Drosophila melanogaster: one gene and its partner. Changing the gene in region 1 together with any one later gene gives a genetic interaction. Each region holds a gene or a part of one and is shown on either strand. Other genes may lie near its edges.

Region 1 (6,619 bases):
AACTTCTTCTATTCTTCTATTTTTCTCTGGCAAGATCACGCGCCTCTATGCGATCGCTGATAAAATTCTATTTTTTTTTAGCCCGTCTGTGTTTTTTTGTTCTTGTTATTTTTTCAACTTTTTTGCGGATTTATTGTGTTTATATTGTTTTTTTTTTTTGACAGCATTGCCGCCGAACTGTGGCCATAAACATTTGCATTCGCTTGGATTGCATTTATTTATTGAATTTGCATCATGTGCTGGGTTCAATTTATAGGTAGCTATATTCGCTATTTATATATATAAATGAAATATATATATATATATATATATGTATATCTGTTTATAAGGATAAGCCCCGCACGTGCCCCTGACTTTATGATCGCGTGCTGTTTGTTTGCCCGTCGCTCTTTGTTTGTTTCCTTTTCCGCCGGCTTGTTTGCTTACCTTGCCAACTTGTTTGCCCCCCTTTTGTATTGCCCCACCCCTCTTCCCCCACCTCCTATTGTGGCCCCCCTTGGACCAACGCCCATGCCAAAAGGCACTAATTGCCGCCGCATTTGCAGCTGATTTGGCGCTAAGCGAATGCGAGCTGCCAGGCAAATATTTATGGGGTCATTCCCGTCTCGTGTCAGCCGCTGGCCAAAAAGCCAAAACAACTAAAACAGCTTCAATATCAGCTAGCTAGTATGGCCCTGAAGATTCCAACCGAGTTGCTAATTTAGTAAATAACAAATTTGATAACAGTGCGAGCAACCTGGTTTATCTACTAATTGTTAGCCAAGCTAAGTGGCAGGGATTGGGCAAATTTTATTGCAAAAACTGATATAAAAAAGGTGAAGCCTTTTTGTCAATTAAATATGTCATTTGCTTTTTATATTTGCACATCTTATGGTGCCTGAAAATATTTTCATATGTAATTATTGAACATCTATTTCTTAGCAAGCTGAGGAGAATTATATCAGCAATGTCAAAATTATAATAATAATATTTTTACAGAGTATGCCAGTTTGTCTCGAAAGCTTGAAGTGCGATTTTGAATATATTCAGTACAATCAATTAGTAGCTTATGACACATTTTATATATATTATGAATATTTATAATATATTTATTTCTATTCAATGCACTTTTGTGCCAACGGAGCATTGCCCAATTTCCATCGAAATCGCAGCCATTTTCGAGCTTCTCGCCAATTTCCATCACGTTGCAGTCTCGATCGCTTCGAAATATATATGTAAGTTGGAAATTCAGAAACTCAGAAAAACAGAAATTCAAAAAGTCGGGACTGAGACTTTGACGTTCGATCGTGACAGAATATGAATTGAAAGGGAAACCAGATTGTTAGCACTCGACTATGGGTATAGAGATGGTAGAGGTACTGGGCATGTCCATAAGGTTGGATACCGTTGTGATAGTGTGTGTATTCATAGTTACACACATTATCGAGCCAGTGAAAATGTTCTACACAACTTTGCTATGCTAGTGACGACTATTTTTAGACGTCCAGCACCACAGCACTTTGTTGGCAAAAATGCAGTAACAAAAATAAATAACTTGGCCAACAGTTAGTTAGTTGTTGTTTGCCTCGCCCCGCCGCACTTTTTTTTTTTGATGGATCATCGCCGTCGTGACGTCAGCAAATGTTGTTTTGTTCGCTGCACCGAAGGCGCAAAAATATTCGGCATATTTGTGTTGATCTCTAGCCGTCAAGCGTCATGAAACGTAATGGATACAGCTCCTTCCGCCTGGCCACATCCACGGCATTGTGGGCTGTCCTAGGTTAGTTTTCACTGTACTCGAGTCGAGTGGGCGAGGCCAAACGCCTCACTAGCCGCCAATCCCGGGCACGATTGGGCTGCCAAGAAGCTTTTGGCTTCCATGGGAAGACAGCGAAAGCCTTTAAAATGCCAAGCTGCACTGGGAAAAAAAAAACAATGAAGTAATGTAATTGGTCATGAACGAAGCTTTTGTAAATATACGCATTAAGCGATTTCTTTAAAATATATATTTTTTTTTACTTATGTAATAAAACTATTTTAAACTGTTTTTTAAAGCTTATAAGTGAAAATAAGTTCCTAATTATTAGAAAACTCAAAAGTATTCATTATTCATTACTTTTTTATCCTGAAAAGTTGAAAAGGGTTTGCAAATAAAATGAATATGATGAGATATTATGATAAATCACCTTTAGTTTCTAATAAAGCTACCAAAAAAGCGTTCTAAAGATATCCCTCGGAACCAAATGTATCTGAAAGTCGTAATATCTTAGATCCTAACGTAATGCTCTTGGAAATGGCTTTCTGTGGCTACACATACACATACACATGGCTACACAGCGATTTGTCGCCGCCGTGGAGAGGAAAGAAGAGGAAAGGAGAGGAAGGGAGAGGAGAGTCCGCTTGGAGCTGTCTATGTCTATTTTGCGAAAGGGGGAGATGGTAAGGTGAGCGATGCCGGCGAGAGTGGGTGGCGACATTGGGAGCGGAGAGTGATGGCACCAGAGAGAGAGAGAGAGAGAGAGGGAGATCGAGTGAGAGAGCGAACCGCTATGTCTAGATCTAGGTCTATATGATTATATGCTGAAAACTTCAGTTTGTCAAAGATCGCGACGACCGAACGAACGACGCTAGAGAAACGCGCACCGAAATCGATGACCAATCCAAACGATAACGATTGCCAGCCCGCAGGAGTCATTTCGAAAATTGCGCGCGCGTTTTTGGCGACGTATTGCATATAAATCATATGTATATGTCCGCATATACATATAAACGAAACGAACATATAGAACATATATTTCCATATCTCGATATTCTATTTCATTGTTCATTGTTGCCCCTATTTTTTTTTTCTTGTGAAACGTATGTATGTGCGCGCGTCTGTGGAATGGTGCAATTACAGTCGTAGTTATTGGTTTTTAATGAACCTCTTAAATTGCCATTGAGGAACGTGAAAAGTGCCCGAAAGCCCGAAACGGAAATTATACTTTACACTCATGATTATTAGTTGTGGAAATTGCAGCTTAAATCGCCATTAATCGACACACACATATGGGCGTGGGTGAATCGTTAAATAGTACTCATAGTGATTGCACTGCTACACTGCGTTTCGGCATGTTAAGTCTGGCCGTTTTGAGAAGCAATAACTATTTAACCGAATTCTTCTATTGCCCTTTCAATAACTAAATAACACACAGCGACTTGGCAACGAAATGCTAGCTCTAGAACAGATGAAGGTAATGATAAGAGTGTCTCAACAAACAATACAATCCTGAAACGCACTGTACCTGCAACCTGAAAGCTCTTGCCCCTCTGGATTATAAGTCCGTCACTTTCGGTTTTAATGATCGCATTGAAATGGAATGTCATCGACCAATTTCAATTCTAATTCCATTCCGATTCCGATTCCGACCCAATATCGTCGAGATCGAGGCGACACACGCCCCAAAAACGAGACAATTACCCAGGAATGGGGCATGATTTCTTTTATTATTACTGTGTTTAGATCGAATCTGACGCCAAAAGGGCGACCTAAAAAAAAAAAAAAAAAAAAAACCAAGACAAGAAAAAACGTAATCACAAAGAATGGGAAAAATCAATCGAACATCGAACATTCGATGCGGACCAGTTGCAGAACGGCAAAGGGGGCAGATCGGTGGATAGCTGGGATAGATAGACAGATATATACATAGATATATAGATAGATAGATCGATCGATCGATCGGGCGATCGGGCGATCGGGCGGTCGGGCGAATGATGAAATTTCCAGAGCGTTTCAATAGCAACCGGCAACAGAAAGAAAAAGCAACACCGACCGACAACGAACCATTTACAATTCCAATCGAATGGCAATTGTTGCCGACTTGCAGCATGATTCAAATCGAGGGCGTGACAGAGGAAATGGGGCGGGGGGTAAATACCTAGATTACCGTACTCGATGACGCAGCCCAGGTATGTGTAGGTACTCTCGATCGCTTGAAAGTCGACAGATACTCGCAGTATCTAGCGACAGTGATGAAGAGTTTAACTGCGCTCGGAAAATCCATCATTATCATGCCGCTGATATGATAACCAACCATTGAAATGGCTAAGCAACAATCTGTTAGTAAGATTGTATGGTGTTTTATTTCGATCATTAAGCTAAACTAAAACTTCCATCACTTAGTTCAAACTTTAGCTTGTCTCACGAATCCCATTCCGTCCATCAATTGATCAAACAATCGATCGCCGGATCGTTTGAGTTTGTTTGATCGTTCGATGATCGCGACAACAAGAAGAAGACGACCAAAATTTAACGATGTTGGCCAGTTGGCTAACTGCGGTTTTACTGCCACTTTACGTGCTGCTGTTTTGTCTGGCAAACAAAACATTCGCACACACATGACACACACACGGCACACATGACGTATACGCGATATTTTTGGCCTGCTCTCGCACAGAAACAGAAAGACATAGTGCGAGTGCGAGTGGGACGGGTGGACTGGCGAAGGGAGAAAGAGCTACACGGAATCTCTGTTGCTAGGGTGGCAGTTTGTATGGGGGGTTAGTCAGCTTATAAATAATGGAATATCATCTAGGTGCTTTCTGAGTGCCGCAAACTATGGTGAACTTTCGTACGATGGAACCTCCGGAAAATTACTCAATCGAATCGCACACAAATTTCCCGGAAATCTTATATTTCATTTAATGCTTTTAAGATTTTTTTAAGAACTTTGAACTTAGTAGTTGGTCTCCTTTCAACCTATTCACTTTTAATTTGTCCACTGTTTCTAACTGATTCACACAGATGTCTCAAATGATTGGACCTTCTGGCTTCGATGACCATCAAATCAATTGCATGTGACTGCAGTGAAATAGTACTCAACCACACACGCATAAGTGCATATTTATGTAGTACACTTGAAGAAATTGCATTGAACAAATAATTACAAAAGGAAAAAATATTTTAGGCAGTACGATTTATGGAAAATGCAAATATTTCTAGATTGAAAAAAAAACTTACTTTTCAGCTGTTTTGGCTGTTTAAACTAATGAAACACACCAATATTGATCTTCAACGTCTCCGAACTGTTTTTCGAAATCAAGAAAAGAGAATTTTCTCTCAGTGTGCGCATACTTTCTGGCCTGTTATGCAGTCAAAAGCCGTCACTTTGCCGCTTCTGTTTCATTTGATGTCTTTCTGTGTGCGTTTGCCGTTCGCCATTTGCCATTTGCCATTTAAATGAATGCAGGCAATTTTGCGCTGGTGGCTGCTGTTTTTGCTGCTGTTGTGATTTGCTTTTGATTGGCATCTAATTTATGATTGACAGTTACATTAGAAACATCTCGGAACAGCAAACAATCAGAATCGGGCCTACCGCAAGATCTCGCCAAGGCATCGAAAAAGCATCGCCAGTTGAAGCATCGAAGAGCTGAGACCTTATGGTCGGATATCGACTTAGCTCACGGTTGTCAATCAAGCTATTAAATAATTTACAAACAAACAAACACACACGCGAACACACACATTACATACATATAAGCACACACACACAGCACGCACACATAGATGAGCAGCACACTGAGAATCGAATTTATGAACTAACATCTTGATTTACGTAGTCTTCGCTGGCTGAATGCGGTTTGAAGCTTTGACACCTTGACGGGCATTGTCAAAGAGTTTCACACTCAGCGGCACTCGCACACACCGGCTACTGTTCTATCGGATTACGCGGCGTATGCGCAATGTGGCCCGAACGAGAAGCGATCGAGTATCGAACTGCCAGTTAAGGCGGCAAGTGGAAAATGCAGTTTATCAGTTAGTCAGTAAGTCAGTCAGTCGCTTAGTCAGTTGGGCAGTTAGCCAGCTGGTCAGTTAGTCGCTAAGTCGGCTAGTCAGTCTGTCAGTTAGTCAGTTAGTCAGTTAGTTAGTTTGTCAGTTTGTCAGCCCCCACAGAACAAAGTTGTCTGCCCGATATAGGCCACAATGTGGGGCTGTAAACAAAACTTGAACACTCGACGGAGCACTGACATAACCGCTCTGCAATCGACTGATAAGAAACTACTATATAATGTATATAGATACATATTTATATATATACACATATATATATGGGCTTGCAATTGCCTGGTAGGTGGGTGCCGTAATATTAATTGCCAATGAACCGCGAATGGAAAGGGGGAAATGAATCTGTCAATGGAAATATTATTTTGATAATGAAGTAAGGATGGAGTATTTAATTATCAATTTTGGCCTTATTACTTAAATGTAGTATTAAATGTAATGCAGTAAATGTAAAGTAGAGAACCAAAAAGTTACTTTTAATAATTTTTTGGTGTTTTTATCTACACATTTTCTTTAATTTGGTTGCAAAGTCTTCCCAGTTAGTTCAACGTGACCTTCTGGCTCCCGCTTTTCTTTTTGGACCGTTCAAAGTACAACTTGGCCGGAAAACAATGAGAACACACACTTTTACCCAAAGGAAAATGCCCAACGAACATTTTCACTGGCATACAAAGTGTATTTTCCATCGCCTCGCTGAGTGCGCACAGATTGTTCAGATATACTGGGCGACTATATGGCAATATGGCTATATCTTTGCATGGACATACATAGATATAGATATGCTGTGTGTGTCATGTTGCTGCTATGCTGGCGACGCTG
Region 2 (6,508 bases), 3.6 Mb from region 1:
TTGAAGGTGGAATTTAGTGTTAATATGAATATGTATCTCCCTTTAAAATTGGAAAATATAAAAATTTTCTGCAATTATGGTCTTGTGTTATTTTATAACGCTCATGAAATTATCATGAAATTATCGCCTAATTGCGTTTTTTATCACACCATTTACATTGATAATGAACTGAAAACTTTTGAACCCATATATTTAAACATTGAGAAAATTGGCTTGTTATAAAATGTATAGCATTTCATAAGATATATGAATATAATATAATTATAGTATCTATTAGTTTATAGAACAAGCCTAAGATGTCCAGGTTTTGCCAACATTTAAATTTGTATAATATTTTACCATAGATAGATCATAAGTATTTCGTTAGTTCTGTGTTCGAAATGTAACTTGTAGATAAATTTCACCTAACACTAATTTGCCATTTAACTGGATTTGCGTATATATTAGCCGATATTCGCAAGCTTGATTATACTAAGCTTTCGGTTTGGACGGTTCAGCAATAAAAAGCTCTTATTCAAGTTGGCAAGACGTTAAGACGTTGATTAAAATGGTTAGTACGGTAGGTTTTGTTGGCCACTCTTTTGTTTAGCCCTCGATTTCAAGACCGCTGAATTGCTTTGTAGTTGTCTTTGCATTTAGCAGTTAATCTAGTTATATCATTACATAAAAATGTTAAATAATATATGCCAACTGAAGCATTGCAATGCTGCTGGCTCAAAAGACCATAAACTGACGTCAGATGGGTGAAAAAAAAATAGGGGGACTGTTTTCACGTCGAAGATGACGACAAAGCCTGGTCAACGGACCAATGCAACTTTGCGAAATGTTGCGGAATAATGATAATAAATTGTTAATCATGCGCAATGTTGGATTGAGAATGAATCGAAAATGTTACGTTGACAGATATGCGATTTCAAAAATTCCGCTTCCCACAAAAAGCTGAGAAATTTGACTTCCCTTTTCCGCTAGCTGAACTATAATCGCCAGTTTCGTTTATAGATTTTTCTTTATAGTTTCAGAGCTTCGTTTTTTGTTGCCAAAATAGCACTTTGTCATTGCGGTATATTGAACCTGGAATTAGGACAACTATAGAAATAAAATCCGAAAGTCCGTTCGTCACCTTTTTAACTTGTACAATTTGCCACAGTTTGCGACTTAGAACGTTGGGCATTGCCAATTATCGGTATTAAAACAGAATACGGCTACTATTATGATCCAGTTTTAGTACGGGTTTTAAGTCGCACTTCTTTCATTAACGTGTACTCGGCTTGGGTTACTTTGCTGGGAATCAACTAGCCAGCGAAGTTTTGAAAACGTGGAAGCCGAAGTTTGTATACCCTTTTCCCAAAAATTATAACTACTGGAGCTAAGATTTTCAGTTAAGATAATTCTTTTCTTGTGATAGAATATTAAATTGTGTTTAAAAATAACCATTTTATGGAGCTTTCGAGTTAGTAAACTTATAATTAAACTTATGATTAGGCCAACATTTCTAAGAACAAAAAGGGACACAAGATTAATTAGCAAAACTTGTTTGATGCCAAAAGAAAGACTGTTTCTGATTTTGGTCACGCGCCTTTTCGCCCCCGCTAATTGCGAAATTTACCCAAAATTTTTTATAGCTTAGCCATTTTGGCATCATAAGTTTATACGCCATATACAATTCTAAACAATCAATCTATCCAAATACGGACTTTCTAAAAAGATTCTTTCCAACAGATAGATAGATTCCTGAAGAAAGGTGCGGCTAGCATCTGGTGGATATGGAAAAGCGCGTTTTCCTTGATGGATCGGATGAACTGCCTCGGTGGAGGGGGCTGAAGGGGCAGCGAAGGTATAGTATATAGCGTATGGAACGCTTGGATCGGATCGACTCTCGAGCGAATTGTGTAAAGCTCTGCGATTGCGCATATTGTGTTTCGCGTTGCGTCGGCAACGACGCCACAATGCAAAGACAGCCAAGCGACCAGCGAAAAGCAACCGCCATTCGTCGAGCGGTAAATAAGGCTACTACACTGCGAGAAAAAGTCACAATAAAAACCAAAATATATGCATTAGGATCTTCCATCAAAACATGTTAGTTAGCACTTGTAAAATGCGCACAATTACAAAAATAAAGAGAAGTTGCAAGCATAATATATAAAATATTACATATATAATTACATCTAGACTTGTGCAATTAAATAACTTTAGATTCAGAACCGATTGAGTGGATAACTGTAAAGTTCGCTTTCGGATCGAAGTGATAAGAAAAGTGTGGGAGAACCACAATGTTTTCTAAGTTATCTGCAAGCTGCTTACTTTCTGCCGTTCCAGAATGTGTTAACTATTTTGCGAAAATCTAGTAACTTTTGAGAATGTCTTTGTTTGTCAAGTGTAAGCGGCGAACGGTCAGCCAAGCAAACAACCTACCACCAATCAACCTCATGTTGGTGACCATGCACAATGGGCGCTACTGAGCGTATTTTCCATTTTGGCCAGCTTATTAAGTGGTTCAACTGAAATGGGTAACAAAAGCTGTATAACCTTGGAAATATCGGGAGTATTGTACTGGAGAAAATTCTGTAACTATATAGGACCTTATAGGAATAATAACTTATAAATGGTAAAAGCTCCTGTTTTCATCCCATGGTTGGTTCCATTGGCGAGTCGTCGCTGCACATGCGCAGTTCGTGTCGCATGGGATCGTATGGCGTCGGTTCGGTTCGGTTCGGCTCGGCTCGGTTCGGGTTAGTTCGGCTTGGTTCGGATGGATTCGGCTTGGTGCAGACTGATACTTGATACAGCTTGGAGTGTGGTTCGTTACAAACTTCTGTGGGACATTAAAACCAGTTATAAGCCAACTTTCATTCCAAGCAGACGTGCTGGGAGTTTCGCATCGGAAAGCGGCGGTTTTTTGTTTCGCCGTTGCAGTAGCAACAGCAACAGCAGCAGCGTTAACTCGTGCAAATGCAGCCAGGTCGCCCAAAACGAGAAATAAGTTCACGTTCATAGGTATAGCCATTAATTTTTCCCATTTTCCTCGGCAATCCAATTCAGCCGCAAACCCAAGCCGCGCTCTTTTCGCCTTTTTTTTTCTATATTTTTTATATTTATTTTTATTTTTTTCCTGTGTGTGGTTACTGTTTTGTGTATATTTTTGTTTTAGTGGTTTTCATAGTGTTTCTTTTCTTCTTTTTTTTTTTTTTTGTTTGTTTTTTGTGTGTGAACTGGTCAGAGATTCAGTGAGTTTGCTTGTCTTACAGCTCCCACCCAGAAAAAACGGCTAAATCCGGTCATATTGAATCATGGCTGAGATATGAATGTTAGCAGTTCACGATTTATACGTACGTATGTGCACATACACATACTATATATGCAAATAATAAAATCGGGAATGTTTCTGATCGAGTGTTGTGCTTGTGTGTGTGTGTGTGTGTGCCCCAATATTTCTAGTTCTCAATCGAGCCAAAAAAAATAAAAACCGTGTACTTTCACACACAACTCAAATTAGCACCAACCAAAATCGAATTAGAGTGCCCAAGCCGAAACTTTCCTAATTCTCCACCAGAGGCTATATCCACAGTAGCCGATAATTAGTGAAAGATATTGACATACATATATAAGATAGTGGCCTGGCTCTCGCACGAAAGTTGTACCGGATGGTACCCAGTTTCAAGTTTTCAGATCCATATCCCCGGGGCGAAGTGAAACCAAGTCCCAGTGGGTTCTGTTTTTTTTTTTTTTTTTATAGATTTATAGATTGGTAGTAGTAGTTGCAACCTTGAAAGCAACACCAAAACACAGCACTCGCCCTCGGGCGATTTCGTTTGTTTCTCTTTTATCCATACCATACCATACCATACTTTACTATATGTAAATGTATCTATATATACATATATTTCATCGAATGTCTGTGGCTGGCTTATTCTTTCGAATACCCATGGCATAGCCGGGCAGCCCCCAAAAAGGGAAGCCATTTAAAGTTTACTTTTACTTTTTCAATCGAAGCAATCGAATGGAACTGAGTCGCTCAGACGGCCAGACAGACTGTAGATGTGTATATATCTATATCTATATAGTTATTCATACATATGGATATGTATATATTAGCTAGCGAGGTATGGGAACTTAGGAAAGCGGTTGAATTGGACAGGTGAGGGTGAAGTCAACGGCCGACAACGAATACTATGTTTGTGATTATCACGATTATTACAATGCGCCTTGGTTGATTTTATGCAGTATCCAATGCTATATGTAATATACATAAAACATCATAATTAGCCAGTGGAAATTCAGTGTGAATGCAAAGTGAAACCTTAATGAACGCATCACGATCGCTCACGCCATCTATGTGTTATGTTTATGTGCAAGTTTTAAAACAGCAAAAAATTATTAAAAAAATAGCGAGATAAATATATATACATATGAATAATCGACAAGTGTATGCATAAATTAATCGCTGCTGATGCCGCAACAACAACAACAACAAAAAACACCCCAACTGAAAACAACAAAAGCTAAAGCTATATAGCCAAAGCTAATGCTAATCGGCAGCCAACGAACGGCATCGGGCATTATAATCATCAACTTCAACTTCAACATCAGCATCCCGGGCATTGGAAACAACAATACCAACACACCTGCCACCAGCAGACAGACACAATGTTTTGCTGCAACATACCGGTGGATGCATCCGTGGCCACATCCACATCCACATCCATATCCACATATCCATTGCAACGGGCAACAAAAAGAGCCATGACTCCTCCAAATGCAATGGCACTCATTATGCTACTGCTGCTTGCACTGTGCGCAGCTGGGAATGGCCAAAGTAAGTTCATCCCATACAAACATTCAGTTGTATTGACCCCAATCTATATCTAAATACATATATAAGACTCGTAATATTTTCCAATTATCACCTCTAAACGGGGTCACCACGCTGAGAATTTCTCAAGTCGTCGTTTGTCCAAGTCGTTCTTTGTGATCTTGGGAAAGCGCCAGATGCAGCTTCAAGTTAATTAAAAACTCGATTTATGTAATCATCGGGTAATTTATTAATCTGTTTTAGGCCAAACTGGTAGAGAGCATACCAAAAAAAAAAAAAAAACACACACACAATTCTGAGTTTCAAAAAAAAGTTGGTAAAGGTAACTTTCGGAATCTGTATACCATAATCAATCTTCTCAATGAAAGAGGATTTTTGGAGAAATGCAATCATTTAAAATCATAATGAATGTAACAATCAGTAAGATTAGAAAATGTGTACAAACTCTGAATAGCCAAATAGTTCTAGCCATGATAAAGTTTATGTGAATTTCTATTTCCATACAAAGTCCATAATAATGATCTTTCAGTTAATGGGTTGATTTCAATTAGAGTTTGGGCAGAGACATCCCAATTACTGTGAGACATAAATTGCCTTATGGCCCGTTTCTTCTGTTTCTGTTAGTGTTGCTGTTTGTTTGTTTGCTTCGGCCGCCAAGTAAAATGGGGCTAACTCTTTTGGGTCATTTGGAGGGAGGGGCGAAAAGAAATGGACAGCCGGCTGGAGTCGAGCAGTGAAAGTTTCACAGACGCAGTGCCTCGAAAGACTGAAATGCTCAAAGACTCGGAGACGGAAAGACTGGAAGACTGGAAGACTGAGAGACTGAACGACTCAGTGGTTGAACGACTTCTGCGACAATGTGTTTGAGTTGGGTTTTAAGTTGGCTTGAAGGAAGGCACTTTGCTTGTGACATTCTTACTTCAAAAGTTTCACAAGTTCACGTCGTGCAATACGTGATTGCGTTTGTACATTTCACCGTTTGTAGATTTACTAGCCAACAGTTACAGGTATCCATCCATCCATCCACTCACATATGTATGTAGTTATATATTTAGGTATTGCGCCCTCTTACGTGCGCTAAATAACAAATTCCCTTGGCGATTTGCGTTTGATTATCAACATCGCCAACCGATGTTGTCACATCGGCAATATGGGGCACCTTTCTAATGAGCCACAATACCCAAATATTGGCAAAAGCTTATTTTTTTTCTACTGAGCAGTTATTTTCACATATTTATGTGGCTTAAAAATGCTGATATTTGCGCAAACTATTTGTCAGGTAGAAAAAAAAGTTTTTAAATTTAAGCCTGATTTCGAAACCATTTCTTTTTGAGGTCTTTGAACGCTGATTCCCCCTTGACTTTAGTTTTTCGAAGGTCAGCCATGAATCACAGACCAAAAAAATCTTGTTAAATACGCAACTTTCGCACCAACGCACAGTGGGAATAATCAGGACTTTTTGTGTAAAAAATACACAAATTTGAGAAGGTAAAACTTTTCACTGCCTAGTACAACTTATCAGAAGTAAATGAGGTTTAGTATGAAAAATGTAACTACTTCTTCATTTTAACCAGTTTTCCCCCTCTTTTTTCCACTGTGCGTGGCTTGTAGCATAGCTATAAATGTTTAAGGCATCCTTCCAGGGTTCTCATATAAAGAAAAAAATTGTCAAAAACCTGGTTTCCTTCATTGCTGTTC

What was found. Genes that interact genetically often act in the same process or in processes that back each other up.
Region 2: of sog (region 1) and fw, changing one enhances a phenotype caused by changing the other (phenotypic enhancement), as found in Drosophila melanogaster (one study listed by BioGRID).

What each region holds. Positions count from the first base shown.
Region 1 is NC_004354.4:15,629,402-15,636,020, reverse strand, and holds the start of sog (short gastrulation), read left to right. Parts: upstream 1-2,586; 5' UTR 2,587-3,212; intron 3,213-6,619. UniProt on the Drosophila melanogaster protein: Putative negative growth factor. Antagonist of dpp, a protein involved in patterning the dorsal region and in the development of the neuroectoderm; dpp inhibition is enhanced by tsg.
Region 2 is NC_004354.4:12,000,233-12,006,740, reverse strand, and holds the start of fw (furrowed), read left to right. Parts: upstream 1-2,826; 5' UTR 2,827-2,994; intron 2,995-4,221; 5' UTR 4,222-4,644; coding exon 4,645-4,813; intron 4,814-6,508.